2 linked regions of the Callithrix jacchus genome follow. The protein of the gene in region 1 binds, or shares a complex with, the protein of each later gene. Links are inferred from orthologs where the notes say so. Each region holds a gene or a part of one and is shown on either strand. Other genes may lie near its edges.

Evidence for each region.
Region 2: the proteins of ARRB1 (region 1) and NTSR1 are in contact, whole or in part, in a cryo-EM structure (PDB 6UP7), measured with the Homo sapiens proteins. The link is inferred for Callithrix jacchus from reciprocal best matches to the Homo sapiens genes ARRB1 and NTSR1. Residues at the interface, in NP_004032.2 of Homo sapiens: Tyr63, Arg65, Asp67, Leu68, Val70, Leu71, Gly72, Leu73, Thr74, Phe75, Arg76, Lys77, Asn245, Thr246, Ala247, Gln248, Tyr249, Lys250, Lys284, Arg285, Gly286; in NP_002522.2 of Homo sapiens: Ser93, Leu94, Gln95, Ser96, Leu97, Gln98, Thr100, Val101, Arg166, Ile170, Pro173, Lys177, Phe286, Ser287, Met288, Ala289, Ile290, Ala297, Leu298, Gly301, Ser368, Asn370.

Annotation. Positions count from the first base shown.
Region 1 is NC_133511.1:65,673,669-65,688,892, reverse strand, and holds part of ARRB1 (beta-arrestin-1), read right to left. Parts: intron 14,587-15,224; coding exon 14,527-14,586; intron 13,681-14,526; coding exon 13,613-13,680; intron 11,308-13,612; coding exon 11,172-11,307; intron 10,175-11,171; coding exon 10,090-10,174; intron 9,646-10,089; coding exon 9,573-9,645; intron 6,982-9,572; coding exon 6,844-6,981; intron 5,750-6,843; coding exon 5,666-5,749; intron 4,469-5,665; coding exon 4,445-4,468; intron 2,044-4,444; coding exon 1,973-2,043; intron 814-1,972; coding exon 762-813; intron 611-761; coding exon of another isoform or gene 589-610; exon of another isoform or gene 1-588. UniProt on the Homo sapiens protein: Functions in regulating agonist-mediated G-protein coupled receptor (GPCR) signaling by mediating both receptor desensitization and resensitization processes.
Region 2 is NC_133506.1:58,243,046-58,259,023, forward strand, and holds the start of NTSR1 (neurotensin receptor type 1), read left to right. Parts: upstream 1-8,761; 5' UTR 8,762-9,165; coding exon 9,166-9,879; intron 9,880-15,978. UniProt on the Homo sapiens protein: G-protein coupled receptor for the tridecapeptide neurotensin (NTS). Signaling is effected via G proteins that activate a phosphatidylinositol-calcium second messenger system.

The sequences.
Region 1 (15,224 bases):
TGTTTGTGAGGAAGGGGGAGACTTGAATGGGGTTTCAGGACTGAGGACTGCCTTCAAGAACAGCGAGACCCTTCTATCATTAAATATGTCCACTTAGGGACCTGCAGGGGTCCAACCAGGTCTCCTGCCCAACAGAGTTCAGCTAGTGCATGGGGCATTCTCATGGTGTGACTTGAGACCTCCACACCCCAGATTTCTCCCGGGGGACAAGGGAAGATTGGCTTTGGAGTTGGAGCAAGAAAGCTGCTTGGCCCTGGAGGTGGTCCACACAGTCGGCCCAGTCCTCCCCCTCTGGCAACTGTCCGGTGACTCGATGGCCTTTGACCGCAGGGAAATCCACATCGATCGGTCCTCAAGAGTCAGAAGCAACAAGATCCCCAGTCCCCTGCCCACCCCACAGCCTGATTCCACTGGTTGGCGTGGGCAGGACAGGAGAGCTGAGCCCAGGGCCACGAACCAGCCCTGTGTGAGCCGAGCAGGCGCTGTGGATGGACGAACGGACTGACGGACGGACGTGCAAGGACCAGGGAGGAAGACAGACCCCACCAAGGCAGGAGGAAGAGGAACAGGCACGGAGGGTCCTTCAAGTCACATGCAGGCAAGCGGGTTGCTGAAGAGGCGAGCAGAGGCGGCTCTCAGCAGATGGGGTTACACCAGTGGCTCCTCAGGGGTTAATAAGCATATATGCAAATGACCCCCTCCACCCTGTGCCCCCCTCACGGCCCGCCCACCCGGATGTCTGCAGGCAGGGTTCGGCTTACTTTGTGTCAAGTTCTATGAGATTGGTATCTACTGGCGTCTCGTTCTCTGGAACTAAACACAGGGCAGTGGGCAGGACGTCCAGGGGTTAGTGAGGGATGAGCATGGGGCAAGTGGGCACAGGTCCCCACCCTGGGACAACCAGACTAACATGAGGAGGGCGAAGGAAAAAGGGGAATGGAGAGGGGAGGACTCATTCTTGGTCTTAAAACACCCCAAATTATCTGGAAGGCAGGGAGGAAGGCACCAGGAGGGCCCAAATGCCCGCTGCAGCCCCAGAAGAGCAGAAAATCCTCCAGACCTCTGTTCCTTTTGACAGGTCTCCAACATGACTTACGTTAATTCCTTGCATGCATGCCTTTCACCAACTCTAAGACAACTTTTTTAAAAATTTTTCCTTCACATTTTAACATCTCTGAACTTGGAGTGTCTTACCATTGACGGCATTGCACAGGTTAGCCATGCAAGTTCTTTCCTAATCGTACCTACTATGATGACTCTCTCTACTGAAAGTCTCGGATTCAATGAAATATGACAAATCTGGTATCACTTGAAAAACATGACAGGCCCGGTGCGGTGGCTTACGCCTGTAATCCCAGCACTTTGGGAGGTTGAGGCAGGAGGATCACCTGAGGTTAAGAGTTCAACACCAGCCTGGCCAACATGGTGAAACCCTGTCACTACGATAAACACAAAAATCAGCCAGGTATGATGGCAGCCTCCAGTAATCCCACCTACTTGGGACACTGAGGCAGGAGAATCTCTTGAACCCAGGAGGCAGAGGTTGCAGTGAGCTGAGATTGTACCACTGCACTCCAGCCTGGGCAACAGAGAGAGACTCTGTTTCAAAAAAAAAAAGAAGAAGAAGAAAAACATGACAATGGTGTCCAGCAGTCATCTTATCCATGCAGCCCTTTCCCCTACTTCCAAACGGGACCCAGCCCATGCCTGAGTGCAAGATAGAGGCTCAAAGCATGGCCAATGAGCTCCCTCCTCCTCTCCTGGCCTCCCTCTCCCATGGGGAACAGGAGCTGTGCCTCACTGTCTCCTGGTAGGGTCAGAAGCAAATTTAGTTCTGGACCCCACGAAAGATCTGGGGACCTGAGAAAAGGGTGCCTGGGCTGAGAGCAAACCCGGGGCAAGGGGTGGGTTACAGGGTCACATGGTAGCTGCTGGAGAACCCCTACCCCAGAGACCCACAGATTCTGCTCACCTTCCCGATGAGGAGGTTCCTCTTTGGGCTTGGGGTGCATTAGGGTGAAGGGCAGTTCCACAGCCACGTCGCTGAAACAGAGACCCAGACCCAGTGAGCCTTGAGCAGACTCGAAGGCTGTGGGATTCGATGCGCTGCCAGTCCAAAGACTGGGGAGGGTTTTGCTGTCAGAGGAGGTAGATCCCAAAGATGCCCTCCAGCCCCAGTTTTCCACTCAGAGCCTCGGTCTGCCTGGGAGCTGGACCAGGAGACTTCCTCTGGCTCCAAAAAGAAATGGAAGGCTCCCCTTTCCTGAGACGGCTCCCTGGGTTCCCACAGGCTGAGAGGAGGCCAAGGGGTGGGCAAGGATTGCCCAGGGCAGCATGCACCATGGTCACTGCGGGGCTCCAGAGGTGCCCTGAAACTCTGCCCACCTCAGATCACCACTGCCACCTCTCCTCCCCTGACATTGCCCTTCCCAGCTTCCAGGTTGGAACCCCTCCTGCCCTGACACCATCCCATCTCCCAACACATCCAGGGCGCTCTTGTGAAAGTGCTCAGGCGACCCTAGTCCCCCTGCAATCTGGGTGAAGCACTGTTGAGGTCAGTTTAGTCAGGTTTAGGATGGCCCCAGGGCCAAGGCTGTCCACACTGTGGGGATGCGGGGGAAAGTGGTCGGGAAGACCCAGCCACCAGCCAGTGCTACTGATGGGGCTTTCTCTGTGTCTGGCCCTGACGGACAGAATAAGAGCAGGTATTCACATGGTGCTGACTATGCCAAGGATTACTGTAAACCCCTTCCATAGAGTAACTCACTTAATCTCGAAACAACCCTATTATTATCCCCAGTATACAGACTGGGGCATTGAAGCATGAGGAGATTAAAATATCTTGCCCAAGGCTATGCAGCTATTAACGGTAAGTGATAGCAGATTCTGGCTCCATAACCACACCCTTGGCCACTGTGTGACAGTAGCAGGATTGAGACTAACAAAAGCAACCCCGAAGGCTCCTCTCAGCTTGGCGTGGCATCACCCTAGGAGACCCCCCAATTGTGAGTGCCTCCAGGCACAGGCCACATCTCACTGATCTTGTTGCCCAGAGCCCAGCTGGGAAGGAGAAAGGGAAAGGGAACGGAGTGGTCAGAGGCACAAGCTAGGCAACTAGAAGGGTCTGCTCTGCCAGCCTTGCCACTCGCTGGCGCAGCAATTTCTGGCTTTGAGTCTCACTGAGCTCAGCTTCGAAGTCGGGATAACAATACCTGTCTTCTAGAGCCACTGGAACTTCCTAGAGGTGAGGCAGCTAAATGCTAGTTAAACTGTAAAGCTTGGCGGGGCACAGTGGCTCATGCCCATAATCCCAGCACTTTGGGAGGCCAAAGCGGGCAGATCCCTTGAGCTCAGGAGTTAGAGACCAGCCTGGGCAACATGGTGAGATGCCACTCCCCACCCCCCGTCTCTACTAAAAATACAAAAATTAGCTGGGCATGGTAGTGCACACCTGTAGTCCCAGCTACTCAGGAGGCTGAGGTGGAGGGATGGCTTCCACCCAGGAGGCAGAGGAGGTCACAGTGAACCAAGTCTGTATCACTGCACTCCAGCCTGGGCAATAGCATTAGACCTTGTCTCAAAAAGAATAAAAATATAAAATGAAAATGTGAAGCTTGTGCCTGCCATAATCATTACTTCCCCCAGTGGGAACCTGGGGTTTTATAAGGCTGTCAGAACTATTTGGACTTTTTTTCTTCCTTTTTTTTCATTTTGCTTTGGGGAGCTGGTGGAAGAGCAAGTTTGCCAACATTAGGGAAAGAATCTGGACCTTAATCTTCTACCAGGCCAGGAACGATAAGAGCAGGGGGCACATCTGATTCCTCTCTGGGACTTTGGCACTCAGCACCAGCCTAGGTACCAGCCTGGGTTGAGGAAATCCTTGCTGAATGATATTACACTGAATTGAATTAAACGAATTTCACCTGTCAAATCAGGCTAAGATTTCTTAGGATGAGCCACACTGCCATCTTGTGACAGAAGGCCAAACTGCTGTGTGTAGGGTACAGACATGTTTGGAATCTAAGTGCATCAAGCTGGCTGCAAGGAAGCTGTGTTTACAAAAGAGGACCTCTCCTTAGCAACTCTCAGCCAGCAGCAGCTCATTCTCATTAGTTCGGAAGTTTGAAAGCCATGAAGTCTGCATTTCTCCAAAAGCTCCTATAATTCAATTGATCGGTAATTCAAACAGCCCTCTTGGGGGCCACTCCCTGTATCAATGCAATCGGGCTTTGCTCTCTGTAAAGGTCCCTGTCACTCGGGTGGAAGAGCAAAGTGAGGTTTGTTAAAGAGAAACAGTGTCTCCCAGCTCACACCTGAACCTGGCAATCTGAAATGACCACCAAGATTCCTTCCAACCCAGTGCCCTGTGATTCTGGTCAGTCAAGCCAATCGGCTCCAGGCCCTCCAGGAAGGTGGGTGAATCAGGTGGAAGGGAGGAATTTACCTGGATGCAAGATCTCCCAACAGGCTGGGTGGGTCAGAGGAGGCAGGAGAAGTGGTCAGGAGAGAGTTCAGAGAGGAAGAAAACAAAAAGCACATTCATTCACCACTTCTGCTGCCCCCAGATAGAGAAGACCCACGGGACACACTCCACCCGCCCCCGCCCCACCCGGCACAGCCCTGACTGCTCATTCAGGGATATGTAGAAACGGCATTAGCGCTGCCCTGGGTGACTGGGATCTAGACCCAGCTCAAAAACCCCCTGAGCCCCAGGATCCTCATCTGTGAAGGCAGTGTGAAAATTAACCCTGGTGCTAACTACCCCAAGGGAGGCCGGGCTATCTAAAGGCAGAGGGAAGGACTCCGGGGTTGCCAAGAATGTTTGAGAGACTGTGGGTCCTGAAAGGTCACCAGACACAGCATTTGGGATTTGTAATCTTCAGGTGTCCTATTGTATAAGGTCAGGATTACACAGTGCCACCTGCCAAGAGGCATTCTTCTAATAACCAAGGAGACCCAATGTCTAATGGGATTCAGCTTTTCAATCTTTTCATAGAAATGTATGAACTAAGTTACGCACACACAGAAAAGGTAGTTGCTTTTTTTTTTCCTCCCCAAGCTTCCACCAAATTACGCTCCATGGCAGGAAAGTCTGGTCCACTGCTGTGACCCCAGCCCATGACCTGAGTTAGGGGAGGAGACTTCAGGCAATGTTTGGGGCACTGTTTGGGCCTCTGTTTCACCATCTGTAAAATGGGAAAGCTGACCAGCTAGCAAATCCCCAATCCAGCTGTGGGTTCTGAGCCCTTTTAGCTGCTTCCTCAGAAAATCAGCTTGGGCATGCATGGGGGTGGGTGCTATGTCCCAAGGTGTGATGAGGAATATGGCACTCTGGGGGACCCCACAACATAGACTCTGAGGACTCTGTCGCCTGGGCATGGCCAATCCTCAGCGCAAGCCCAGACCCAGGATAGAAGAGAAGGAGAGCGAGAAAGAGATGGGTGGGGGCTGAGGGAGGGGCTGAGGGCCAAGGATGGAAGAGAGGGAAAGTGGACAGGGGAGGAGAAAGAGGAACCACAAGGGAGGAAGCGAAGGGACAGGAGGTCCTGCTCCAAGGTGGATGCAGCTGAAAGGACAGCAAATAGGCAGAATGGGGCAGGGGACTGTGGGCATCTGGGATGCTCCCCTCTGCACTAGGGATCTTGGGCTGGGCTAGAGCACTCACCCGCCCCGAGACACCACCAGCTTCACTTTCACTTTGTAGGAAACAATGATCCCCAGGATCTCACGGTTGGCGCCTTCCCTCAACCTGAAAAGTGACACAGGGGAGCCGGTTCAGTGGCCTCGAGGGATGCGCGAGACCCTGCAGGGGTGGGTGTGCTGGGGGGCACTGGCTATCCATCCCCTATCTGGCTGGCCTCTCAGCCACCATGTCCAACAGAGCCCAGTGTGGAGCCCAGTGGAGGTGAGGAAGGCAAGCTATGCCATTAGGGAGCGGGGAGCCAGAGCCCCAGTTGCACGTCTGGCTGTGAGGTTCGCTCGCTGTGTGGCCACGTTGAGCCCCTCTCCCTGCCCAGGCCAGCATCCCCACGGTGAGGGGCAGGCTCCTCCTCCCCTCAGATGGACTCTGCTTCTCTCAGCAACCTATGAGCAGAAAGGGCCAGATGGGAAGTTCACAGAGAGCGAGGCTGCTGGGGTGGGGTGGGGACTGTCAGAGAAGGATTTCTCCGTGGAGGTGGTGCCTCAGCTGGGTCTTGAAGATGGGTAAAGTTCGAGCCAGGGTGGAGATGGGGCCAAAAGCTTCAGGTAAGTGGGAGGATGTGTAGTTGCTGGGAAGAGAGCTGAGTTCATGCTGGGAGTGGAGGCTGCTCTAGACACAGGCCAAAGCCCCGACGAAGGACCACACTTGCAAGAGGGAAAGATGGCAGCCCCACACACAGAGCACTGCTGGAGTGGAGCAGCCTCGAGGCATCTGTGATGACCAAGCAGCAGGAGTGACCAGAGGCCCTGGGGCCACTGACTTGGAGGGGCACCCCATGTTGGGTCTAACTCAGCTCACCACCCTGGTCTTTCCTCAGGGATACCCCATCTGACTGAAGGCATTGGGTCAGAAGCTGCCACCTCTTGCAGGAAGCCTTCCCAGGTTGCCCTTCCCCGGACTTGGTAACAGAGCCCAGTACTGCCTGAGTGAGCTGGCCTACTGGTCCATCTTAGTCCCTCGGTCACCCCTGGATAGGGATGGGAGTAAGGAGGTAGCTTCCCTGATAAGTCAAGCACCTGAGGACAGGCCCTGGACAAGGCTGGGGAGAGGGTAGCCTGAGCCTTGTCTTTGAACTGGAGGGACCAAGGAGGGTGAAAAGCAACGTGCACCAGGAGCCCAGGGCTAGGCGGGCAGGTCCTCACAGGGTGCTAGAGGCCAAGTTCGTGTCTTCATGCTTGAGCTTCCCATCCAGGGCAAGGCCCCGCTTCTCACGGTTGTTGGCCAGGAAGGGGGTCAGTGTGTAGACCTTGCAGAACGTTGAGCTGGGTGCCACAGTGTCGCTGGGAAGAAAGGAAGCAGCTGTGGAGTTGGCCCTCCCCAGAGCCAACCCCAGCCCTGCTCTCCAGCCCAGCAGAATGTCTAGTCTGGCCCTGCTCCAAGCCTCCCTCTCCTGACTTCTATCCCCCACAGATACAGGGACCACTTGGGCCAGCCCAGCTCCGGAGACCACTGCGACTCAAAAAAGGCACATCCACATTCTATGCACAAACAGGACTGGATCTGGGATATTCTAAGAGATTATCATAGTCAAGCAGCACAGTGCTAAAAAGCACATTTAGTTAAAAAATGACAGCCACAGCAGGCACAGTTGCTCACACCTATAATCCCAGCAATTTGAGAGGCTGACAGGAGGATCACTTGAGGCCAGAAGTTTGAGACCAGCCCGGGCAACAGAGCAAGTCTCCATCTCTACAAAACATGTTAAACATTAGCCTGGTATGGTGGTGCACACCTACTTGAGAGGCTGAGGCAGAAGGATCACTTGAGCCCAAGAGTTCGAGGCTGGCTGTAGTGAGCCAAGATCGCACCACTGTACTCCAGCCTGGGCAACAGAGCAAAACTCTATCTCTAAACAAATTTTATTTTATTTTTTGAGGCAGTCTTGCTCTGTGATCCAGGCTGAAGTACAGTGGTGCGATCTTGGCTCACTGCAACCTCTACTTCCTGGGTTCAAGAGATTCTCCTACCTCAGCCTCCCAAGTAGCTGGGATTACAGGCGCGCACCACAACGCCCAGCTATTTTTTTTATTTTTAGTAGAGATGGGGTTTTACCATCTTGACCAGGATGGTCTCAAACTCTTGACCTCAAGTAATCTGCCCACCTCAGCCTCCCAAAGTGCTGGGATTACAGGTGTGAGCCATTGCACCTGGCCCTGTCTGTAAACAAATTTAAAAAAAAATTATAGCGACACATAAACCATAAATGAAACTATTTGGGCACCCACATACCCACCATCTAGGCTCAACAATTAAAACTCCACTTGCTTTATCGCATCCATCATGTATAGTGTGTTTTGATTGTCCAGTTTTTGCTTGCTTTTGCTCTATCCCCCATCCTTTCCAAAGAGAGAGCTGACATGCAGCAGATAGCGAGCAAGCCGTGGAGTCAGACAACCTGTGCACCAGCCCCAGCTTCGCTGCTTGCTAGCTTACAAGTCACATCTCTCTAGCCACTTCCTCCTCAACACACTGGGGCAGCAGCAACCCCAGCCCCATGGGCTTCCTGAGAAGTAAACAAGCCTATGAGTGCAAAGGCCTACCCAGCCACCCCTGCTGGGATCTGTTACGCAGACCCTGGCACCATCTGCGGGGGTGGGATGTTCTACCCTTCAGGGATTATATGTTACTCTGTTCTAGATCACTTCACTTTACCATCTGGAATCTATGCTTCATGGCTCTGATTTTTTTAAAAAAAGAACAAGAGGCTGGGCGTGGTAGCTCACACCTGTAATCCCAGCACTCCGGGAGGCCGAGGTGGGCAGATCACGAGGTCAAGAGATTGAGACCATCCTGGTCAACATGGTGAAACCCCGTTTCTACTAAAGATACAAAAGAAATTAGCTGGGCATGGTGGCGTGCGCCAGTAGTCCCAGCTACTCAGGAGGCTGAGGCAGGAGAATTGCTTGAACCCAGGAGGCGGAGGTTGCAGTGAGCCAAGGTCCCACCACTGCACTCCAGCCTGGCACCTGGTGACAGAGTGAGACTCTGTCTCAAAATATAAATAAGTAAATAAATAAAAATAAAAAAGAACAACAGTGAATATCAAAAATATCCAGTAACCAGAGAATGCTTGATCTCAACATAGCATGTTCACCTACAGGACATTAAAAACTGTCTCCAAGGCCATCTAGTAATTTTTTAAATGTTTGAAGTTGCAAAAAATACTGATTGGAATTATATATAAACAAATACACATACACAGTAAAATTACATCAGGTGTAATTGCCCCAAGAAATTACTTGTAGGGCCAGGAAAAAGACTGTGTGTGTCTTTAAATGGGAGCATTTATTTCCTTTAGGTAAGTAAAGATGTTTCACTTGAGATCTCTCCTCTTGCCTTAACTGCCAACAAGCTTGGGACAAAATTCAGTCCACACTCAACCATAGTAGTTCTCCTCAAACCTAGATTTTTTTTTTTAATGTCTGTGTATAATTAGTCTCTACACTCCCACACACAACCCCTTTACCCAGTGAGCTGGATTACCCTTTATTAGACTGTGCACCTAGTGCCTTACCTACTTTGCCCTGGCTACCAGGAAGCTCAGAACAAAGTATTTCCCTTCAACCTAGGTTTCTTGTACAATGTAATTATTTTCTTTCCCCAATCCCAATCCCCTTACATTCATTAGCTCTTGTTTTGTCATTCTAGTTTTAGTGGGTCTCTTCCTTGATTGTACCTTGCATTTTCTTGTAGCTAAATCAGGTAGATGGTTTCTAAAAGGCTCTTTGGGATCATCTACTCTGAGTGGCAAGGAATTCTGAGGCCCAGCCCTCTGCCAGGTGAAGAAGAGACACCTGGACCTGTAACAGGATACCTAGAGCTTTTTCCCGCCCAATCCCACATGCCCAAGGCCAGATGTGTGCTCACTTACTCAGCCTCTTCCATGGCAACAGGGCACTTGTACTGAGCTGTGTTGAAAAGGCAGATGTCTGCATACTGGCGCACTGGGGAGGGAGAGGAATGAGGTTGAGCGAGTCTGGAATGCAGCTCCCATGGAGTCTCTCAGGCTTCCTGGGGTTGGGGATATTCAGCCCCAGGCAATGGCCACAGGCCACCAGTAGGGACTTCTGCCTGAGACTACCTCTGTCTTCCATCCAAAGGGTAGCCCCAAAACACACAAATTTCCTTCCATAACCAAAGCCTTCTCCTCAAGTACAGCTTTGCCCAGAACCCAAGAAACTGAAGAGAAGAGGTGGCTTAAAGAATGAACTCATTACCTGGCCAATAAACAGCCTCCCTGACTCGCCTCAAAAGTGGGGCCCTGTGGCTCAGGGCAGGCCCTTGTATTTATTATACAAGGCTGTTGACAAGGCAGACCCTTCAGCCACCCCCAGCCCATGGGAAGATTGCCTCTCCTGTCCCCTACGCTGATCATCTGCCTGGGGTACCTGAGATCTTGATCTTCTTCACCATCTTGTTGGTGTTGTTGGTGACATGGACGTTGACGCTGATGGGTTCTCCATGGTAATAGATCTGGGGGGCATAAGAAGGAATGGCTGGGAGGATAGCAAGGTTCTAGGGAAAGAGGAGGGAGAAAAGCCCCCCATGATCTTCCTGGGTTCCTCAGACCTTGGGCATTCTGATATTTGCCTTAAGTTCATCAGCCGCTTCCCATTGCTGCTAAGGAACCAAGTACACTAGCCCTTCAGTTCCCTGGAGGGACCCTTGAAAGATAATGGAATTGGAAGGTGACAGTCCTGGGCTCCAGTCCTGGTTTGGCCACCAGTAATCACGACATGAGAAAAGCAGTGCAACCTGGGGTAGGTTATCTAAGCCTCAGGGTCTCCCTCTGTGCAATGAAGAGGTTGGACTGGGTGATGTCTCAAGACCCTGCCAGCTCTAAAATCTGTCCATGGAAGGCTCTGGAAGAAGCAGGGAAAGGTGAGGAGTGGCTGACCAGCTCACGGAGGGAGCCAGCTCTGAATCCCTCCCAAAAGGCCTTAACTTGCATCTTCCCAAGGCACGTGCCTTCAGCCATGCCCCTAGAAGGGGGAGTGCCCACACCTCATGGAAGGGCCAGCCTGAGCTCACAGCAGGCGTCAGTCAGCTGGGCTTGAATCAGAGCTTGAGGGGAGGCCCTTCCTTCTGCAGGGCTCGTTGTCCTGATGCTCAGGGTTGGAGGGGAGGCCGTGACCTCCCCTGTCCCCTCTGCAGAGCTCGCTGGCCTTCAGCTCTCGGACTGAGGCAGGCAGCTGGTGGAGGTGGGGGAGGATGTCCAGGACCTTCGGGAGGGTCTCTGCTCCCTTCCGAAGTCCATCACATCCTTCAGGTTCATGCCCCCTCTGCCACTCCTTTAGGCCCAAGAGGCTTCTCCAGATCCCCCAGGGGAGGTCTCAGATTCCTTGAGCCCTGTGGTCCTCAGGCTGGGGGTAAAAGCTCTTGCCTGAGGCATCCCCGCAGGCCAGGAGAGAGCAGGGATCTGAGGTCAGGCCCTGGTGGAGCAGCCCCCACCCCCTGCCAAGTCTCCTACCTCCTTATCCAGGGAGGCCTCTAGGTGTAAGGGCTTGTCCGACATTAGGAACTGCCTGGTGGTCTCGGCTGTGGGCTGGGGACCAGGCCTCTCAGGGGCATACTGAACTTTCCGGATGACCAGACGCACAGAATTCCTAATGGAGATGGGTGGAGTGAAAGAAGACCAGGGTCAACTGCCTTCATCCCCTCTCCTAGCAAGCCTCACATCACTCTCCTGCTCAAGAGACTGCCATGGCGCCCCATTGCCTTAGAATCCAGCCAAACTGCAGAGGTCAGCATAGGGGTCCCGTCACCATCTGGCCCCATTCCATCCTCCCCTGTTCTGTCCAGAGCGGCCCTGTGGCCGCACAGGGGTCCTGATACCCAGCAGGATGCTGAAACAGGAGCTGCATTTTCACCTCCTGCTTCCCTATGCCACCAAACAGGTGACATTTTCACTTCCTGCCTCCCTATGTCACCTTACACAGTGTCCCTCTGTCATCTATTTTGGTCACGTAGGAAACTATTTGTATAAGCTCTTTAAGGGCAGAAAGTTGTGTCTGAAGTGTTCACAGCAGTACTCTGCGCACCTACGCTGTGCCTGCCATACAATAAACACCTGTCAGATGTCTACTATGCAGAACTATGCAGAGGGAACGGGGCCCCATGAAGAAATGGGGCTTGGGGAGGTGTTGGGGTTCAGGGAGGAGCTGTGGATTCAGTCAGGGGGACGCCAGCCAATGAAGGGGACAACCCCAGGGAGGGGAGAAGGCCCAGGGATGAAACTGGTTCCATGAAGGTTACAGGGGCTCAGCGAGTAAACGAGGATCTCGTGAGGGAGAGGGACTCGGTGAGGCCATCTCTGAAGCATGCTGGAAATGCTGGCATCTCCATTGCTCAGATAAGCTGTCTCTATTGCCTGGAACCAGAGAGCCGAGGTCAAACTTCCAGTTCTCTTCTTACCATGGCCTTGGGTGCATTAATCTCTCTCTGCCTCCATTCCCTCATCTGTAAGGGTGACGATAGAAGGAACTATCTCTTTTTTTCCTTTTTAAATTTTTATTTGTTTATTTATTTTGAGATGGAGTGTCACTCTGTTGCCCAGACTGGAGCGCAGTGACGTGATCTCAGCGCACTACAACCCCTGCCTCCCAGGTTCAAGCGATTCTCCTGCCTCAGCCTTCCGAGTAACTGGGATTACAGGCATGTGCCACCACACCCACCTAATTTTTGTATTTTCAGTAGAAATGGGATTTTACCCTGTTGACCAGGCTGGTCTGAATTCCTGGCCACAAGTGATCTGCCCACCTCAGCCTTTCAAAGTGAGAGCCACTGCGCCCAGCCAGGACCTACCTCTTAGAGTTGCTGTGAGGATTTAATCAGTTCATACACACCCAGCACCGTGAATGGTGTCTGGCACCTAGTCAGCCCTTGATAAATGACAGCTTCTGTATCATTATTCTTAGTAACTCCTTGGTGTGGATTTTAAATGTCCCATTGGTGGTAGGGTAAGAGGGTGGCTCTCAAAGTCACCTCCTCTTTCTTGTGCCTACCAAGCCTCCTCCCACATCTCACAGCACCCGTCCTTTTCCCTGGTCTCAGGTCTTAAGAGGAAAAGGGAGACAGGGAAGCAAGGGAGAAAAGTCCCATCTCCCACACACAGCAGTCTGGGCTGCAGATGCAAATGCATGCAATACACCCTACAGCCACCAGGTGGCAAACTCAGCCTTCCCCCTAAAGAGGTTGCTGTGCCCTCCCCAGCCTTCTCTGGGAACAGTGTCTCTGGAGGCAGGACCATCAGCGTCTGGGGGGCCTGAGGCCAGCCATTCCAGGAGGCAGGCAGAGCACAGCCTGATCCAAGAGGGGCAGGAATGAGACATCCGGGCCAGCTGTTTCTGGCTGCCAGCCTGGGCTCTCAGTCTGCCCGGGCTGTGCCTCTCCAGAGAACGCTTCCCCTCTCTCAGATGTGGGCCGACCTCTCCATCACTCTCCCCGGGTGGATTCACTATCTCCTTTCCTCCTCTCTCAGAAGCTGTCATTGACACACACTCCACCCCTGCTGAACACCTCCCAGGAGGAAAACTGGAAAATGGGGATGGTCAGGAAACAGCCTGCTCACTGGTTAACACAATCTGAGTTTAGGGTTTTTCCAAAACAAATTAAAAAGACATTCAGTCTAGAGGGGATGAAATGAGGGGCAGGGAGTTGAGAGCGGAAGCTGCCACAGTGGTGCAAAGGAGAAGATGCTGCAGCCTGAACCCAGGCAGTTGAAGCCACCGCCCCCAGGAAGCCCTCCGTGACCTCCCGGCTTCCAGAGTGCCCTTCTCAGAGTTCCCAAGGCTGGAATGTGCACCCCTCCTCACACACTTCCAGGTATTGTTACTTATCTCCTCTTGGACTTTGCCCATCCTGTCTCCCTCCTCACCAAGCAGGCAGCCCACACCCGGGCATCCTACTCACCGCTTGTGGATCTTCTCCTCCAGATTCTCTGCACAGAAGGCTTTGACTTCATAGTCCACACCGCAAGCCTGTGGGGAAGGGTTCACTGACTGCAGGGCCTTGGAGAAGCAGCATCCTCAGTGCGCGGCCAGCCCACCTCTCATTTTACAAACGAGGACACTGGACGGGAACACCAAGCTCCCACAGCCCAGCCCTCCTCGGTCCGGAAGAAGCTGTGAAATGCCCTTGTGCTCAGCCCCAGAGCTGTACTGCCTCCTGCATCTGACATGGGGCATCCCAAACCACCCTAGCGCAGCTCTGCTCTTCGGGCTCCTGCCTTAGTCTGCGTGGCTATCCTTATCCAGGCTGCTGCTCAGAAATAGCAACAGGCACCTGAGCAGACTGGGTGCACCCACTTCTGTGTGCAGACCTGGCCTTGGGTGGCTTGCTCCAGTATCCCTCTAACAAGACAAGGAGGCACATGCTGTGATCTCCACTTTGCAGATGGGGAAGCTGGGCTCAAAGGTCCAGAGCCTGGGACACTAGTGGTGTCACGTTTCTCCAAGCCTCAGTTTCCTCATCTGAGAAATGGAGATGATCGCGCCTTGAATCAAGGTTGCCAGGGGGTTACGTGAGGCCAGGTATAGGTCCTCAGAACACTTTGGTCCTGTTGCAGCCCACACCACGACCAGCAAGGGTGACTCAGGAGGGACTCCGGACCCACCACTGGATGGGAGAGTGAGGCTGACCCCATACCTGCTGCCCTGTCTGAAGAGAGACTGGTTGTCCAAGGTGGGACCAGCCTAGCCTAGACACAAAAACTCTTCAACAGGAAGAGGGGTACTGTGTGTCCAGCACCTCCCAGGGAGAAAACCAGGGACCTGGGGACATGAGAGTCCTGGAGCCAGAGAGATGGTCCCCTTGGGGTGACCTACCTTCCCCGTGTCTTCGGGGCCCGGCTGCAATGTCACAGAGCATGGAAGGTTTGGAGGGATCTGTCGAGAGGGATACAGAATGAGCACCTGTCACATCCACCTTTTTCTCATGTCTTGCACCCCAGACACTCCCATACACCTATCAGACCTGGGCACCCTCGGAACAGGCCATGTCTACCCCGTCAGACCATGCCAAGCCATGCCCAAGTGTCTGAGCTTTCTTTATCTGAAGGGTTTGGCCCAGCCCAGTCCTCACAGCAATAGTTTAAATAGATCTTTCTATGATGTCTACTGTGGTAGGCAGAATAATGGTCCCCCAAAGATGTCCACACCCTAACCCCCCAAAACCTGGGACCTTAATGACAAAAGTGACTTTGCAGATCCAATTAAGGCCTTGAGATGGGGATAGTATCCTGGATGGTTCTGGTGGGCCCGATAGAATCAGGAGGGTCCTTAGAAGTGGAAGCAGGAGGCAGAAGTGTCCACGCCAGAGTGACGGGATGTGCAAGACTCAACCAGTCACCGCTAGCTTTGACCATGGAGGAAGGTGCTGTGAGCCGAGGAAAGCGAAGCTGGAAAAGGTGGACACATTCCGAGGGCCTCCGGAGGAGCCAGCCCTGCCATGCCTCCATGGTAGACCACTGAGACCTATTTTGGGACTTCTGACATCCAGAGCTGTAAGCGTATACATCCGTGTT
Region 2 (15,978 bases), on another chromosome or scaffold:
AACGGGCATGGGGGTCTGAGGGTTCCTGTTCACCAGTTTCAAACCTTCTGGTCTAGAGACGTCAGTGGGAGCATCACAGGAACTTCTAAGGGCCACCCCTTGTGTCCCCAGGCCAGAAGTTCGAGTCATAGCCAGCCCCTCCCAGGAATGATTTCTAGCAAATGGGGCTACAATGAAACCTGTTTTGGAAATGGGTCTCCCTTCCTCGAAAAGAGAATCAACTGCGTTGCCCATTTCCTCCAGAACATCAGCTCTCTTCGCAGGACTCTTGGCTGATGCCTTTAAAGTCCTTAATAGGTCTCACAATCCAAGGTGACTCAAGGCGTTCTCTGCTTCACCCTTACAAGCCATTCTGCTCAGCAGGCCCGGAGGGTGCACGGCGAGGTTGCCGGGCTGGACATGAGACCGGGCGGTGCTTCCTTGAGGAGTAGTAGTCAGAGCCATGGCGATGAGTCCCTGTTCCCTCCTCCCCTCCTGTCATCCTACTGCGTGTGGCCTCGGAGGGGTCCCAGAGCCACCAGCCCTGACCCAGGGCCCAAGGACGTTGGAGTGCCGGAGGCCGGGGTGCAGGGACATTGGGGTGCAGGATGCCAGGGTGCAGGGACACTTGGGTGCAAGGATATTAGGGTGCAGGGTGCCTGGGTGTGGGGATGTTGGGGTGCAAGGACACTGGGGTACAGGGATGTCGGGGTGCAGGGCCCAAGGACATTGGGGTGCAGGATGCCGGGGTGCAGGTCGTCAGGGTACAGGATGCTGAAGTGCAGGGTGCCAGGATGCAGGATGCCAGTCCTTGCTCCTGTTCACAGTCCAGCAAGCTGGGAAGGGACGTGGAGCCTCGTGGGCAAGGTTTCTCTCTGACTGCCTGGCCCTGCTCCACACGGAGAACCGCTCTCTGGGCCCACCTCCTAGACACCCACCTCCAGGTGTGGAGCAGCTGCAGCCACCTAGACTGTGGCCTCTGCCTGCTCTGTCCTCGTGCTGGGCATGCCTGTCCTGAGAGGCCCCTTCTGTCCTCATGCCCCGCAGCACCATCTGAGACACCAGTGCTGGACAGGAGGAGGGGGAGTGGTCTCTGAGCCATGTGGAGCCAGGCTGTGGTCCTTAGCACCTCCTGCTTGGAGGCGAAGGTCAGCACAGATGCAGCCAGGGTGGGCAGAGGGAGCCTGGGAGACCCTGAGCCCCTCATGCTGTCTTAGGGGGGAGAGGTCTGGCGCATGGCAGGGACTGGGCCCCAGCAGCCTCTTCCACTTCTCCAGCCCACACCTGCCATCCTTCACTCTCTCACCATTCAGTCAGGCTCTCTGGACATGGCCAAGTGTGGAATGCTCATAGCTGGCCTGCTCTGGGGACAGCACCCCAGCTCCCTGAGTGTCCAGTGCACCAAAGATTCTTTTGGAGAAATTTAGGGGACTCCAAGGACAAGCACTGGCTTGGAGCTGTGGGGCCAAAGGCCTGGTTTACAGGGGGGTCCCTTGAGCTCAAGGCTGGATCTCCCAGCACATCCTTGGCACAGGAGGGGGCCAGCGGGTGAGCAGGGAACAGGGAAGGAGTGCAGAAGGAGCCCCCACCCCTCAGACACCCTGGGTGCAGCCAAATTGGAAGGCCCTCAGTGTCTGTGTGGCCACCCTACTCTCCTGCAGGCTGCAGCCCTACACGGTAGCACACTTCAGCCCCCCCACCGCCCGCCTCTCTCCCAGTGCTCCCCTCTCTCCCAGTGCTCCTCTCTCTTAGTGCTCCCCTCTCTCCCAGTGCTCCTCTTGCCTCTGCATCAGGCACTCACTCCAGCCTTCCTGCCAGGTGTCCTCACTCCTGTCCACCGAGCAAATGGACCTGAGCTGGGGCCCTGAGGGGCCACGTCTGCTGCATGCACATGGCTTAGAGCCCCCTGCACAGTGCCATGCTCCCCACTGGGCTCCACGCCTCTTTTTTTTTTTTTGAGACACATTCTCTGCCACCCAGGCTGGAGTGCAGGGGCTCAGTCTCGGCTCACTGCAACCTCCACCTCCTGGGTTCAAGCCATTTTCCAGACTCAGCCTCCTGAGTAGCTGGGACTACAGGCATGCATCATCACTCCCAGCTGATTTTTGTATCTTTAGTAGAGATGGGGCTTCACCATGTTGGCCAGGCTGGTCTCAAACTCCTGACTTCAAGTGTTAGGATGACAGGTGTGAGCCCTGCCCTCGTCTGCACCTCTTGTGAGAGCCTTTGTTCTGACAGCCTGCATGTGCTGCTGCTTTCACGTTTGGAGTGCCACCTGGAGCTCTGTCAGTGCGGCACCCCATCTTCTGCCACTGCTGCAGTGAATTCCATGTGATGAACACCTCGCCACTCTGGAGATCAGGGTCTGAATGGGGCTCCCTGGGCTGAAGCAAAGTGCTCAGCTCCCTCTGGGGCTGCAGAGGAGACCCCGTTCTGTTGCCTTTCCCCTTGTGTAGGGCCCCCTGTATCCCTCAGCATCTGGCCGCCCGTGTGGCTGCTGCTCACCTCTCTCAGGCTGCTATCATTCTGGTTCTCCTTCTGCCTCTCTTCCTCATTTAAGGACTTTTGTGACTTCTCTGGGCCTAGCACGGCCTCCCTATTTCATGGCTGATGAGCTGCCTTAATCCACCTGCCCCCAATCCCCTTTGCCAGGCACCCCAACAATACTCACAGGTTCTGAGGAGTCTGACGTGAACATCCTTGGGGTCCTTACACTCCCCACGGTGTGGGCTGCCCCATCTCATCCACACCCATGAACATTAGGCACAATTAACATCCCCATATTTCAGACGAGGAAACTGAAGCTTGGGGTCACCTAAGGCCACTCACTGTGAAGGTGGCAGAGCCAAGATGTGAAACCCCGGGTCAGACTGCAGATCCCGAGCCCTCTGCCTGGCTGGGTGGAGCAGTTTCATTCATGCTGAGAAAACAGCCCCAAGAGGAGAGGGTCCCAGGAGCTCCAGCCAGGAGACGGGGCTCCGTGCATCTGAGCAGAGAGAACACAAAGCGTGGCAGGGCGGGCGGAGGACACCCTCCTTCCTCCCCGCTGGGCACAGCTTTCTTTGCCAGGTGCATGCCAGCTCTGGGGAGAGGCAGCAGAGCCTCCCATGGGGTCTCAGAGCAAGGACAGGACACAAGACCGGAAAGACCTGCTCCTGCCAGCGGGACCCTTTGAGCCCCTGTGCCTGGGAGCCCAACACACACGCCGGTGTCCACACGTGTGCACACATAGACTATGTGGACAGCAGGCAGCTCACAGGAAGACTTGGGGGTGCTGGTGCCCAGGCAAGGGGAGAGGCTGAGCAGGTGAAGTGCCAGCTGTCCCCTCCAGGTGCTCACGATCTGCTCAACACACCTCCCTATCCACCGGGTACCCAGCCTGTGCCAGATCCCTGCAGAGCCAGGTGGAAGGCAGATGGCTCTTGGGGGCACATGAATTAAGGGAACTTGGCTGCTTCTGCCCACTAGGTGTGAGCCCTTGAGCCAAGGCTCCCTAGGAGGCTCTGGCCTCCAGGCAGATGGCAGACACACTTGTTGATATATGTTTGACGACTGCATGAGTCAGACCATCCTGCTGAATCAGAGCCCAGAGGAAATGTATGATTAAAAAGTGGGCCGGTTACAGAGCAGCCAGCTCTCCACGAGCCATGGTGGGTTTGAACTAGAAGATTCCTGGCTTCTTAGCCATGGGAGGTGAAGGAGCCCTGGATGTTTTGGGATTTGGCAGGAGTGCTGAGACCTGGTCCCAGAGGGGGAGACCTGGGCTGGGAGATCAACAGAGCAGGAGAGAGCACGGGAAGGGAGGGGAGCTACAAGAGCAAGCTCCCACAGCCACGGCCAGGGCCACCGCAGCCCCTCCCACAGCCACTGCCAGGGCCACCTCAGCCCCTCCCACAGCCACTGCCAGGCCACCCTCAGCCCCTCCCACAGCCACAGCCAGGGCCACCTCAGCCCCTCCTACAGCCATGGCCAGGGCCACCTCAGCCTCTCCCACAGCACCCAGCCAGTGCCACCTCAGCCCATCCCTCAGCCACAGCCAGGGCCACCCTCAGCCCCTCCCACAGCACACGGCCAGGGGACCCTCAGCCCCTCCCACAGCACCCAGCCAGGGGACCCTCAGCCCCAGCTGCTTGAGACTGAGAGGGCTCCAGCTTCCAGTCTCTGGACTTTGTCTTAAAACCTTGAAAGTCTGAGGAAAACTAGAGTGAGTTGTTTGTCCTACCCCAAGCCTCCCAGCCTGCCAGTGCCATCTTTCTCAGGTGACCTGGGGGATGGTGGAATGGCCACCCCGGCTTGCCTGAGGCGGGACAGGATCGCTGAGTGTCTGTGACACTGACGGAGACCTCACATAACTCTGGTGGCCGATCACTCTCCATCCTCAGCCAAGCATACCAGACAGCTACCACAGCGTCCGGAACGTGTCCCCACCCGGGCAAAGGCGGAGTGTGGGGCGGCACTCCGGGCCATCCTCCTCCCACACAGCCTCTCCAGCTCCCTGCGGCCACCAGGCTGAGCCCTGGCCTCTGCGGAATGAAGTGTGTGCACACCATGAGATGCTCACTGCAGCCTGCTGACCAAGGGGCCCTGTTGTGCATTTCACATACAGGGAACTGGGGGTCCAGGCCTGGTGAAGCTGGGATTCGAAACCACCTCCTCTCCAGCCTGTCACCCCGACCTGCCCTTGGCATCCCTGGCCTTCCGGGGAACTCTCCCCTGCAGCGGCTGCTGTGCTCATGGGCAGCGCACCTGCTCTGTCTTCTGTTCTCAGAACACAGTTCATGTTTCCAGAAAGCTGGCCGAGGTCCAAGGGGCGACCTGGGGATGTGGGGCACAAGGATGCCGATGACTGGGGCTTGATCCGCCTGTAGGGCAACCGCCAGAATCTGCCAATGGCCCCAGAGATGGCAGGGGTGCAGCCAGCTCGAGGCTGGAAATGGCTCCGCCCTCCTCGCTGGCCTGCTAACAGTTCTCTACGTGAATATATGGGCACCTGTCACTCGATTCTTAAAGATCCTCCTTGGAACACCATGCGTCCTGGAACATGTGCAATTTCCATGCTGTGGGTGGGAAAATCTACAGCCAAACTTTACCGATTATGTATGTTATGTGTCTTCTGTGCCCCTAATTCCCCACCCGCCTTCATCCCCATAGGAAATCGGCTACTGATGAAATAATAGGGCTGGGCGCAGTGGCTCAAGTCTGTAATCCCAGCACTTTGGGAGGCCAAGGCGGGTGGATCACGAGGTCAAGAGATCGAGACCATCCTGGTCAACATGGTGAAACCCCGTCTCTACTAAAAATACAAAAAATTAGCTGGGCATGGTGGTGCGTGCCTGTAATCCCAGCTACTGAGAAGGCTGAGGCAGAATTGCCTGAACCCAGGAGGCGGAGGTTGCGGTGAGCCGAGATCGCACCATTGCACTCCAGCCTGGGTAACAAGAGCGAAACTCCATCTCAAAAAAAAAAGAAAAAGAAATAATAAATGCTTGTGGTTTTCAGCCACTGCTGAAAACAGTGGGGCATTTTGTTACACAGCAATAGATACTGAGAGAGGTGCTACTGTAAACTCACTTAATTTTTTTCAATATAGCAAGAAGGCTTCCTGCTAGCAACAGTGGTTGGGGGCCTGAGAGAAGGGAAGCCTGCTGGTGTGGCCTCGCTCAGTTCACCCTCACATCTTCTCCACGAGTGCAACAGCAACCCACTGAGCGCCAACTACCTACCAGGCAGCGTTGGAGGGACTCAGGGTAAGCTGGTTAACAAAACAAGCAGAGACACCCCCCCCCTCCCCCCCCCCCCCCCCCCCCCCGCTTAGGAGCAGCTCCCAGGGACTGTTCATGTGGTGAATCTTTGGACGTGATTGTCACCCCAGGCACAATGTCATTACTTGCTTGGTAATGAGGACATGGCCTTGCTCATACCACTCGGAGAATCACAGAAAGCCAGAATTGTCCCCTGCATGCTGGCTGCCCCTCGTCAGCACTCCCACTGCACCCTAGAATCTAAACCGTGGTGTCAGCAGGTCTTGGCCCTCGCTGCTCACGGGACCAGCTGGCTCCCCTCCAGCAGGCAGCATTGGGAGTGTTGGGATCGGGGGAGCATATCCCCAAGGCTCTCCAACTTGCAGGAGACACTTGCCCCTGCAGCCCTGCCCCCCACAAGGCCATGCCCAGCTTCACCTGTCAGTGAAGGCATCAGCCTGGCCAAAGGCGTGACTGCATCACCAATGGGCACAACAGGGCCCAGCCTAGCCCTTTGCCTCAGCACAGCATAAGGCTCACCCCACGACCCTATGGGGCCATCAGCCCTACACCAGGTGCCTCACCAGCACTTTCTTTAAAGAGTCTCAGCTGTTTAGGAAGGGCTCCTGTCTGCAGAAATCGGGAGAGAAAGAGGCAAACAACGTGAGGTTAAAAGCTTCCAGCTGCTGAGCCATTCGGCTCGCGCGTGCACAGGAGAGCTCAGAATGGCCGAGCGCGCAGTGTGGCCGCCGGGGACCCTCACCAGGGGCCCACTATACACCTTGTTTAGAGCAAGGCCTTTCAAGTGACATTTTCCTATGTGCTTTTAAGCAAATGCTCCATCACAATATTTGCACTAAGTTGCCTTTTATGATTTTTTAAGCTCCCAGGCTAACTCAAAGATAAATCTTTGAAAATAAGGGCGGCTTAGTCAAAAGGTCAGGGGATTGAAAACCAAACAATGAGCTTTGGCAGAGGGAGGGCACGATTCTGCTGCATCCTGCTCTGGCTGGCAGAGCGACAGACCCCAGTGCCCATTACTGTGGCCTTCCTCTTTGTGGGGGTCTCAACAGAGGCACCTGATGGCCCAACCCATGGTCAGTCCCCAGGGTTATGAAGACAGTGGTGAGTGCCTGGACCTGACACGGTCCAGCCCCTGGACTCCCTAGTGTGGCGTGGACACTAAGGTCCCCTCTGTACGCAACCGGTGAATTGCCTTCCAGAGGACAAATCCAGCCTATGCTAGCCTACAGTGATGGATCACCTCACCTCACACCTGACAACCCATTCAACCTCGTTCATTCCCCATGGAGACCCATCAGGAACAGCCCTGCCCTTCATTCAGCTGCTATTCCCATTTTACAGACAACTCAGTTCAGGCACAGAGCCGCTAAGGACACTCATCCAAATCTGAAGTAGCAGGGCTAGCGTTCAAACCCCATCTGCTGGCTTCTGAGCCTACTGTCCTGGCTTCCAGCAAAGGGACCAGTGGCGTTTCCTTTGATGCCAGGATTTCTAACCTCAGATTTTTGTGAGCTGCAGCTCCCTGAGAAGAGTATCAGCTTTGGTTGAACAGACCAGCCCAAATCGGGGTAAGAACAGAGTCCCGCTGCCAGCCATCAGTTCAGGAGCCTCGAATTCTCCCAGCTGCGCGGGTCTGGGAGGGGGTTTCTCAGCCTCCTGCTTCCCTCAACATCCTGCATCCGCCACACCAGCCTGGCCAGGTCTCCTGCTCCCAGCATAGCAGTTGCAGCCAGCGAAGTCCACGAAGGCCAGGCTGGTTCCTGGGCTGCACCCAAGAAGCCCCTCCAGCCCCTGCACACAGGGAGCAGCAGCTCTATCCAACCTCTCCCCGGGGTTCTGGGAGGAGGGAGCAGGGGAGGGGGCGGGGAGGGCCTAGAGAAGTGACAGTTGGTGCCCTGGGGGCCCCTGGGCAACCCAGACGTGGGGGGCAAGCTTGTGCCTGACCACCTATGCCAGTGCTGCCAGGTGATGGGAAGCAGGTAAAGGACAAGAATCTCACCGTCACCTGGCTCCCAACTGGGGACAGAGGCCACCCTGTGAGGACACTCAGTGGTAGGAAGGGTGTCCGGTGCTGGGACTGCCCCTCCCAAATCCTGCTGGGGCTCGGGCTCTCAGGATGACTTTGATGACAAATCCAGGCAGTAATAAGGGGCCCAGAGGGTGCCCACTCACACCCCATAGCGTCATGAGACCAGCCCAGGGTGCCAGGTGTGGGCCCTGAGTGGGGAGGGTGCTGTTCTGGGTGCCTGCGTTCTGCCTTCCCCCATTCACCCCTCCCCAGACTTTGATGAAACCAGACGTGGCTCCTGCCCTCTGCAGGACCCAGCTGCTCAGCCCCTGCAGGTGTCCTCAGTACTGCCTCAGGCCATGCTGCCCCAGGTGATACCTATGCCCGGAGCCCCCACCATTCCCACTGGGCAGGTCCCAGAGATAATGCATTCACAGACCATGCGTGCCCATGACGCCAGATTTTAAAAGGAATTGCAAGAAATGTAATCTCCAGTGGTCCTAGAGTCCTCCTGGCACCCAGCTTCTGGCACCCTGTGGACACCCAGAAGTGGGGGGTGGCCCAGTCAGCTGTGCAGCCGCCCAGCCCTATCAGCGGGAGCTTCCTCTTTCCCTGCCCTCCGATACACCCTCACTGGCACTGAGCGAGCCCGGGTAGGGGGAGGTGCACAGTTCCCTTCCTGTGGGGAGCGAGAAATTGCGGAGAACAGGGAGGAGGGTGGCGAGAAGGGTCAGGTGCACGGTACCGGCCGCACCCGCCCGGAATTCTGATTCCCTGGAGCGCTCACCCAGCTCGCACTGTCCCAGGGGAGTGCCAGTGGGGGGGGGGTGACTCTCCAGGATGCACCCGGGCGGGATGGGGATGGCTGCGGAGGCTGCCTCCCTCCTCCTCCGCCCCCCATTGTTGGGCGCGGCGCGCGGCCTCGGGCTCCATGGAGACGTGCACAGCCGGGAGGGCGGGGACGCGGCGGGAGGTGTGCGGGGTCCGGGGGCGCGGAGAGCGCGAGGGAGGAGATTGGGAGCGGCGGAGGGAGCGCGCCGGGGCAGCCTTGCGTGCGCTCCTCCCGGCGCCAGCAGCCCGCCCTGTGCAGCCCAAATCGGCCCGGACGCTGCCTCCCGGGGGCCTGGGGATCCGCGGGGTTTGGAGATCCGAGACAGCGCGGAGCCGGCGACCAGCACCGAGCCTGGAGACAGCCTGAGGAACCTCAAGGTCTGGAGCCGGGAGTCCGGAGGAACGCGGAGCCCGAGGCTGCGCGTCTGGGTCTGCGCTTCCCGGCTGGACGGCGCGCCCGCTGTCTTCGCCACGAGCCCTCCCCTGGGCTCCCTCTCCTGGGTCCCCGCCGGAGGCGCGCCCACTCCCGCCCGGACTTCCAGCCCCGGAGGCGCGGGACAGAGCCTCGGACCCCGCCTCCCGATGCACCTCAACAGCTCCACGCCAGGGGTCCCGGGCGCACCGGCCGCCGACCCCTTCCAGCGGGCGCAGGCGGGACTGGAGGCGGCACTCCGGGCCCCGGGCTTCGGCAACGGCTCGGGCAACGCGTCGGAGCGTGTCCTGGAGGCGCCCAGCAGCCATCTGGACGTGAACACCGACATCTACTCCAAGGCGCTGGTAACCGCCGTGTACCTGGCGCTCTTCGCGGTGGGCACGGTGGGCAACGCAGTGACGGCATTCACACTGGCGCGGAAGAAGTCGCTGCAGAGCCTGCAGAGCACCGTGCACTACCACCTGGGCAGCCTGGCGCTGTCGGACCTGCTCACGCTGCTGCTGGCGATGCCCGTGGAGCTGTACAACTTCATCTGGGTGCACCACCCCTGGGCCTTCGGTGACGCTGGCTGCCGCGGCTACTACTTCGTGCGCGACGCCTGCACCTACGCCACCGCCCTCAACGTGGCCAGCCTGAGCGTGGAGCGCTACCTGGCCATCTGCCACCCCTTCAAGGCCAAGACCCTGATGTCCCGAAGCCGCACCAAGAAGTTCATCAGCGCCATCTGGCTGGCCTCGGGCCTGCTGGCGGTGCCCATGCTGTTCACCATGGGCCAGCAGAACCGCAGCGCCGATGGCCAGCACCCTGGGGGCCTGGTGTGCACGCCCACCATCCACACGGCCACGGTCAAGACTGTCATCCAGGTGAGCATGGGTAACCACCCGCCAGAGCCCTCCCTTTTCCCCAAACGCAGTGCCAGTGGCGTGCCTTCTGGGTGCAGGGCATGGGAGAGGTCACAGAGACAGTCTCCTTCTGCGAGGCTGGGAAGGTGGTTGGGGCAACTTGGGGCAGCTCCAGAGTTGCTAGGCTCAGCTCCTGTCTTCTCCCCTCCTGTTGAGGGGATGGAGCCCGTGCCTGTCCCTGGAGTCCATGGCCGGCCTCGGATGTCTCTGAATTCCTTAAGATCTAATGGAAACTCATGTGTGCTGGCACCAGTGTCATGGAAGGAAGAGGCCCCTTTCATCAGCTTCTCAAAAGGCTTTGTGCCCCCAACAGGTGATGTTCCTCTCCTCTGTAGAGTGGCCCCAGACTGGCTCTGCCAGTGCCTCCCAGCTGCCTCCCCTGGCCCAAACATGGGAGTCAGCGGAACCTGATGCCACCTTGGGCCAGTTCCTAGTTTAGCCTCAGCTTTCCAGTCTGCATGATGGGGTAGTCATGGCATTGACTTCAGAAGGTTGAGCATTCAAGAGACAACGTGTGGGAAGTGTTTGCATGGCCCCTGACATGTAGAAGCGCTCACAGGTGCCATTAGTGCTGGATGGTGGGGATGGTATTTCTGCTGGGAAGGTTATGAGGATCTCCATGTAGCGGTGGCATGTGGTAAGGTGCATAAAACTGGAGCCGAGTGGCCAACGGCCCTCCAAGGATCAGAGCAAAGCGCTGTGGGAATGCAGGTGGGAAGCCCCCTTGGGAATCAGTTTGGCTGAGAGGTGCATGGCATGGGGGGTTCCAGCACTGGAGGAGAGGGCTGGTCAAACCAAAGCCCTTAGCAGGAGGCTGATGTCCAGGGAGGAAGTCAGGGCCAGTTGGCACTTTGAATGACATCTTGGACTTGAGCAGCCTTGGAGGTGTGGAGTTTCCTCCATTCTGGGTGGGCTAGGAAGCCACAGGATGAAGGATCCAGGCAGAGTTGCCCACCTCTGCCCAGCTTGGGTGGCTGGCATTTCCCCCAGCTCCCCCGACACCAGCATCGGCAACCTCCCAGCTGACTTTCTGTAGCTGCCTGGGCATCTCACATATGCCAGTTTGCCCAGTGGGGGGAGGAAGCAGTGCCAGGCAGGGCATCACCTGCCTATTACTCACTGGGCCCTAACTGACACCCCACTGGCCACCACCCTGGTGGGCTGGGGGTTGGGGGGTTGGAACTAAGTTCCTAGTTCCCCCAGCTGCATGTAGAACTCGTGGCTATAGGTGTCCCATTGGGGAGGCCTCTCCCACAGGCACTGGTGGGAGCAAGAGTCTGCAGTGAGAGGCCCTCCCCCACCAGAGGCAGCAACAGGCACGGCCCTCGAGGCGAACAGTGAGAAATGACCTCTTGCTCCCCTTGAGCCTTCGTCTGCTCTCCCCAACCAAGCTCCTGTCTTTGGGGTAGCCTCTCCCCAGTGTGCATGGAAGGGCCCCAGGAGCAGCAGCCACTCAGCCCTTCAGACAGTGGGCAGTGGAGGGGTCAGCGCTGTCACTGCTCACCCAGCAGGTGCCCCTGCTCAGACAACCACTCTGCCCTCTCCCCTGGCAAAAGGCCAGGAGCTCACAGGCCTCCTGCAATCCTCAAAAACAGCCGCAAAGCACAGGGGTGTAAGCACAGCTCAGCTCCGCCCCCAGAAAGCGTCCTCCCCTGCGCCCGGCCTCTCTGCCAGCCGGTCACTTGGGACTGGGCACCTACAGGACATCCCTTCACCTCCCAAAGCGCCACCTGCCCAGCCTTATTGCTCAGAGGCTGCGAGGCAGATTGGGCTAAGTCACGCTACGTCCAGCCACAGTCACTCATCAACTCTAAGAGGCCGCATCAACCCTGGGACAGACCCCAGCCCTGCAGACACGGTGCTGGCCGAGCATTGCTGAGTGCTCCTGGCATCCTCCACACCCTTGGAGAACATAGTTTCCATTTTTCTTTAACGGGCTCAGCCGCGTGCCTGGGAGTGGCTGATTACAAGGGCGCTCCTCCATCTGAGGCTGACGGCCAGGGGCTTACCAGGCCCCTGATGCCAGCTGCTATGTGGCTCAAAAAGAACATTCCTCGTCAGAGAGGCCTGGCCTTCTCCACCCCGCCCTGCCATCCGCCATTTTACAAGAGGTTTTTCCGGATGAGGGGGTTTATGTCCCCGCGTGGGCTTCTGGGCCGCTGGCAGATCTGCGTGAACAGCTGCTATTTTCAAACGGTGATATCTGGCTGAAGAGGCCTGGATACCCTCAGGGAAGTGTCTCCCTCTCAGCGACGAATTTGGAAGTGCTGGGGCAGTGGCCAAGCAAACAGCCCTCTTTCCAAAACAGGGGTCCTTTCCTGCCCCGGTGTCTCCGAGGAGTTTTGGCCTGGGCACCTGCAAACAGAAATTGTGTTTGGAAATGAGGCGGCTTCATGAGAACATTCTGGAGCAACAGGATGATCCTCCCTGAAGTTGGCAGGACACTTTCCGAGTGTGTAGCCAGGGACAGGAGTAGATAGTGGAGCTGGGCTCTCAGGCCAGCAGGCAGGACCTGGTGCCCAGGACCCCCCCAAAGGCCCCAGACCTGGCCCCGGTGTAGCAGGGCGACTGGGAGGAGGTGCTGGGGACTCGGGGACCTCCAGGATGCCCGACCCCTTCTCGAACCCACCTGCACACGTGACCCCACACAGGCAGATGGACCTTGCTCCTCCATGGTCCCCCATGGCCTGGGCCCAACCTCCAGCTTTGACCTCAGCTATGAAGGGTCCTAATGGCACGGGCTTTGTGTGACAGGGCTTAGGGCTGATGGCACAGGTTGTGGACCAGCAGAGTCCCACACTCATCTGTCCAGGGAGTGTGTACTGAACGTGTGTGTGCCCAGGACCCACAGTGGCAGGGTCCTGTGAGTTCCGGTGTCAGATTCAAATCCGATGAGATGGCTGCAGCCTTTGAAATGGTTTTAGAGACCCGCCGCCCACCATGGCCACACACAAAAGCAACCCCCCCCCAGCCTCGAAGGCACGAGTCCATTAGACCCTCCTGAGTGGCCATAAGGATGCCTTTCATCATGCTTTCATCACTGCCATTTTCTGCACCAAGGGAGCCCTGTTCCTGCGGGCTCGGCCTCCCTGTCTGCTCCTTTGTTTCCTCAGAAAGCCTCCTTCATACTTACTTAGTACAAACAGGAGTGTTCCTCACTGGCTTAGAGTCAGAGGGCACCCCCTCCCTCAGGGGACGGAGGGGGCCTCCATTCCTGCAGGAGAAACTGGTGACCCACAGCCCCTGCTACGGAGGCGTCCAGGAGCAGACAGATTGCAGGGCAACTGGGCCAACACCCTGGCCGTTCAGGACAGGCAGAACCCTGGGAAAGGAGCAGCACTGAGGCAGGGAAGGAGACGGAGTCCAGTGAACTCTGGCCATGGATTGTTTCAGGGCTCCGTCCCGTGCCCCAGGCTGCACCCAGCAACCTCTGAAGGCAGAACCCTTGTTCTTAGAAAAGATACAGGGGTGTTCAGAGTGTGGAGTCTGCAACTGATTCTCAGATCGTTCAGAAAAAAAGGCCAAGTGAAAGGAGAGCAAGCAGGTAATGAATCAAGTGAGGAGACTGCTCCCGGGGCTACGGGCGTTGGGCTGCAGATCTGCGCGGGGCAGTTGAGGGGTCTTCCTCCTACAATTGTTCTGCAGCAGGAACTTTTTCAAGTTAGAAAGTTGCAGGAAAGGACGGGCGAGGTGGCTCACGCCTGTAATCCCAGCACTTGGGGAGGCCGAGGCGGATAGATCACCTGAGGTCAGGAGTTCGAGACCAGCCTGGCAAACATGGCGAAACCTCATATTTACTAAAAATACAAAAATTGGTTTGGTGTGGTGAAGGACGCCTGTAATCCCAGCTACTCGGGAGGCTGAGGCAGGAGAGTCACTTGAACTCACAGAGGTTGCAGTGAGCCAAGATCGCACCACCACACTCCAGCCTGGACAACAAGAGAAAAACTCAGTCTCAATTAAAAAAAAAGAAAGTTGCAGAAGAAGGAGTTCTTGAAGGGGTCGTTAGGGACAGAGGCGTTTACACCAGGGAACAGCCTGCCCAACTCTGACCTCCCCTAGGGACGGGAAGGAGGACCTACACCATGCAGCCCCGGGCAGCTCCCGCTCTGGCTGTGGCAGCCACAGTGTCCTCATCTCCAGCCCAGGGCATCGAGTGCTGTTGGTGCAGGGCCAAGAGCCACGCACTTCCTCTAGTCTGAAAAGGCCAGGACCCTTTAGAAGAAAAGAAGGGAGGCTGGGCGCGGTGGCTCACGCCTGTAATCCCAGCACTTTGGGAGGCTGAGGCGGGTGGATCATGAGGTCAAGAGATCGAGACCATCATGGTCAACATGGTGAAACCCTGTCTCTACTAAAAATACAAAAAAAAAAATTAGCTGGGCATGGTGGCACGTGCCTGTAATCCCAGCTACTCAGGAGGCTGAGGCAGGAGAATTGCCTGAACCCAGGAGGCGGAGGTTGCAGTGAGCTGAGATCGCGCCATTGCACTCCAGTCTGGGTAACAAGAGCGAAACTCCGTCTCAAAAAAAAAGAAGGGAGCATTTTTCCTGCCTTTTCTATTCAAAAGGTAGTTTAGAGTAACCCAAGAGTAGAGGACGGGCACTGTGTCAGCACAGAAACATCCCAGTCAATACGTGAAGAAGGAGTGGGATATTTATTAGGATACCACCCATCGGGTGCAAGGCTGATACATTAATGGATGCAGCCACCAATTCTTGACAGCCACTACTGTCATGAAGGGGAGAGAGTTAGGCGTGAGGTGAGTCCTGGTGTGCACACACCCCATGACATCCTTGGATCAAAGTCATTGAATCTGATGGAGCCCCTGATGCTGCTGCCACACACAGGACACACCAGAGACAGAGGAACTGGACAAAGGCACCGTTAGGATGCAGCCAGCTAAACCTCCGGACAAACGGTTCATTCTGTCCTACAAACAGTGAGGGAACCGGAGATGGTGGCCTTGAATTTTTAGTTATTTATTTTTTTTGAGATGGAGTCTTGCTCTGTCACCCAGGCTGGCATGTGATGGTGTGATCTCAGCTCACTGCAACCTCCGCCTCCCAGGTTCAACAGATTCTCCTGCCTCAGCCTCTGTAGTAGCTGGGATTACAGGCACCCACCGCCATGCCTGGCTAATTTTTGTATTTTTAGTAGAGACAGAGTTTTCTTATGTTGGCCAGGCTGGTCTTGAACTCCTGACCTCAGGTGATCCACCCATCTCGGCCTCCCAGGCAGCCTTGATTTTTAGCAAAGACTTGGACAAGTCAACCTGTCACACAATCCTGGAACCAAAGCCAGTCATTCTTCATGCCAAAAAGCAGCTAAAGAGTTTGGGGAGTTGAAGTAAATTCTTGTTGTCCAGAGTTATTGTGGGTATGGTTTTCAAAACGGTCCTGATCTCTTAGAGGTACATACGGAAGTGTTTACAGATGAAATGATGCAGTGTCTCAGATTTGCTGAAGCATGATCTGGGGGAACGGGCCCTAGGATGGCCACAGAGGGACAAGATTGGTCTGAAGTCTGTGAGGAAAGTGGGTGTTGATGACATTCTAGGTATATGTTTGAAAAACGTTGTAATTAAAAGTTTTCAAAAGGTTAAGGTGCTATATGTTGGAATAAAGAATTTGGCGTCTGAAATCAGATGTTCAGACTGTGGCTCTGAGGCCTCCGGGAGTAAGAGGCCAGGATGGGACAGGGAGGTGGCCTTGGGCTTGTTCCAGACACCAGACCTGCCCGTTGGGGCCAGGTGGGAGATGGCAGGTGAGGACGTGCAGACGGACCACATGTGTCCCCGTCTGTACCCCGTAACCCCTTTTCCCAGATGAAGCCGAGGACGGACCACCTGTGCACATCACGTGGCTGGAGAGAGACAGGGCCTAGAGGGGCTCTCAGCTGGGGAGGCCTAGGCTGACCCTGAGGTCTCTCCATGGGATGACACTCAGGCTTTTGGGTGTGACAGGCAAGGGTGGGAGAGTGAGGGGCTCAGAGCTGGCCACAGCGGCTCTGAGTGGGCTTGGAGTCCTCGGGAGTGACTTGCTCCAGAGAAGTTCAGGCTCA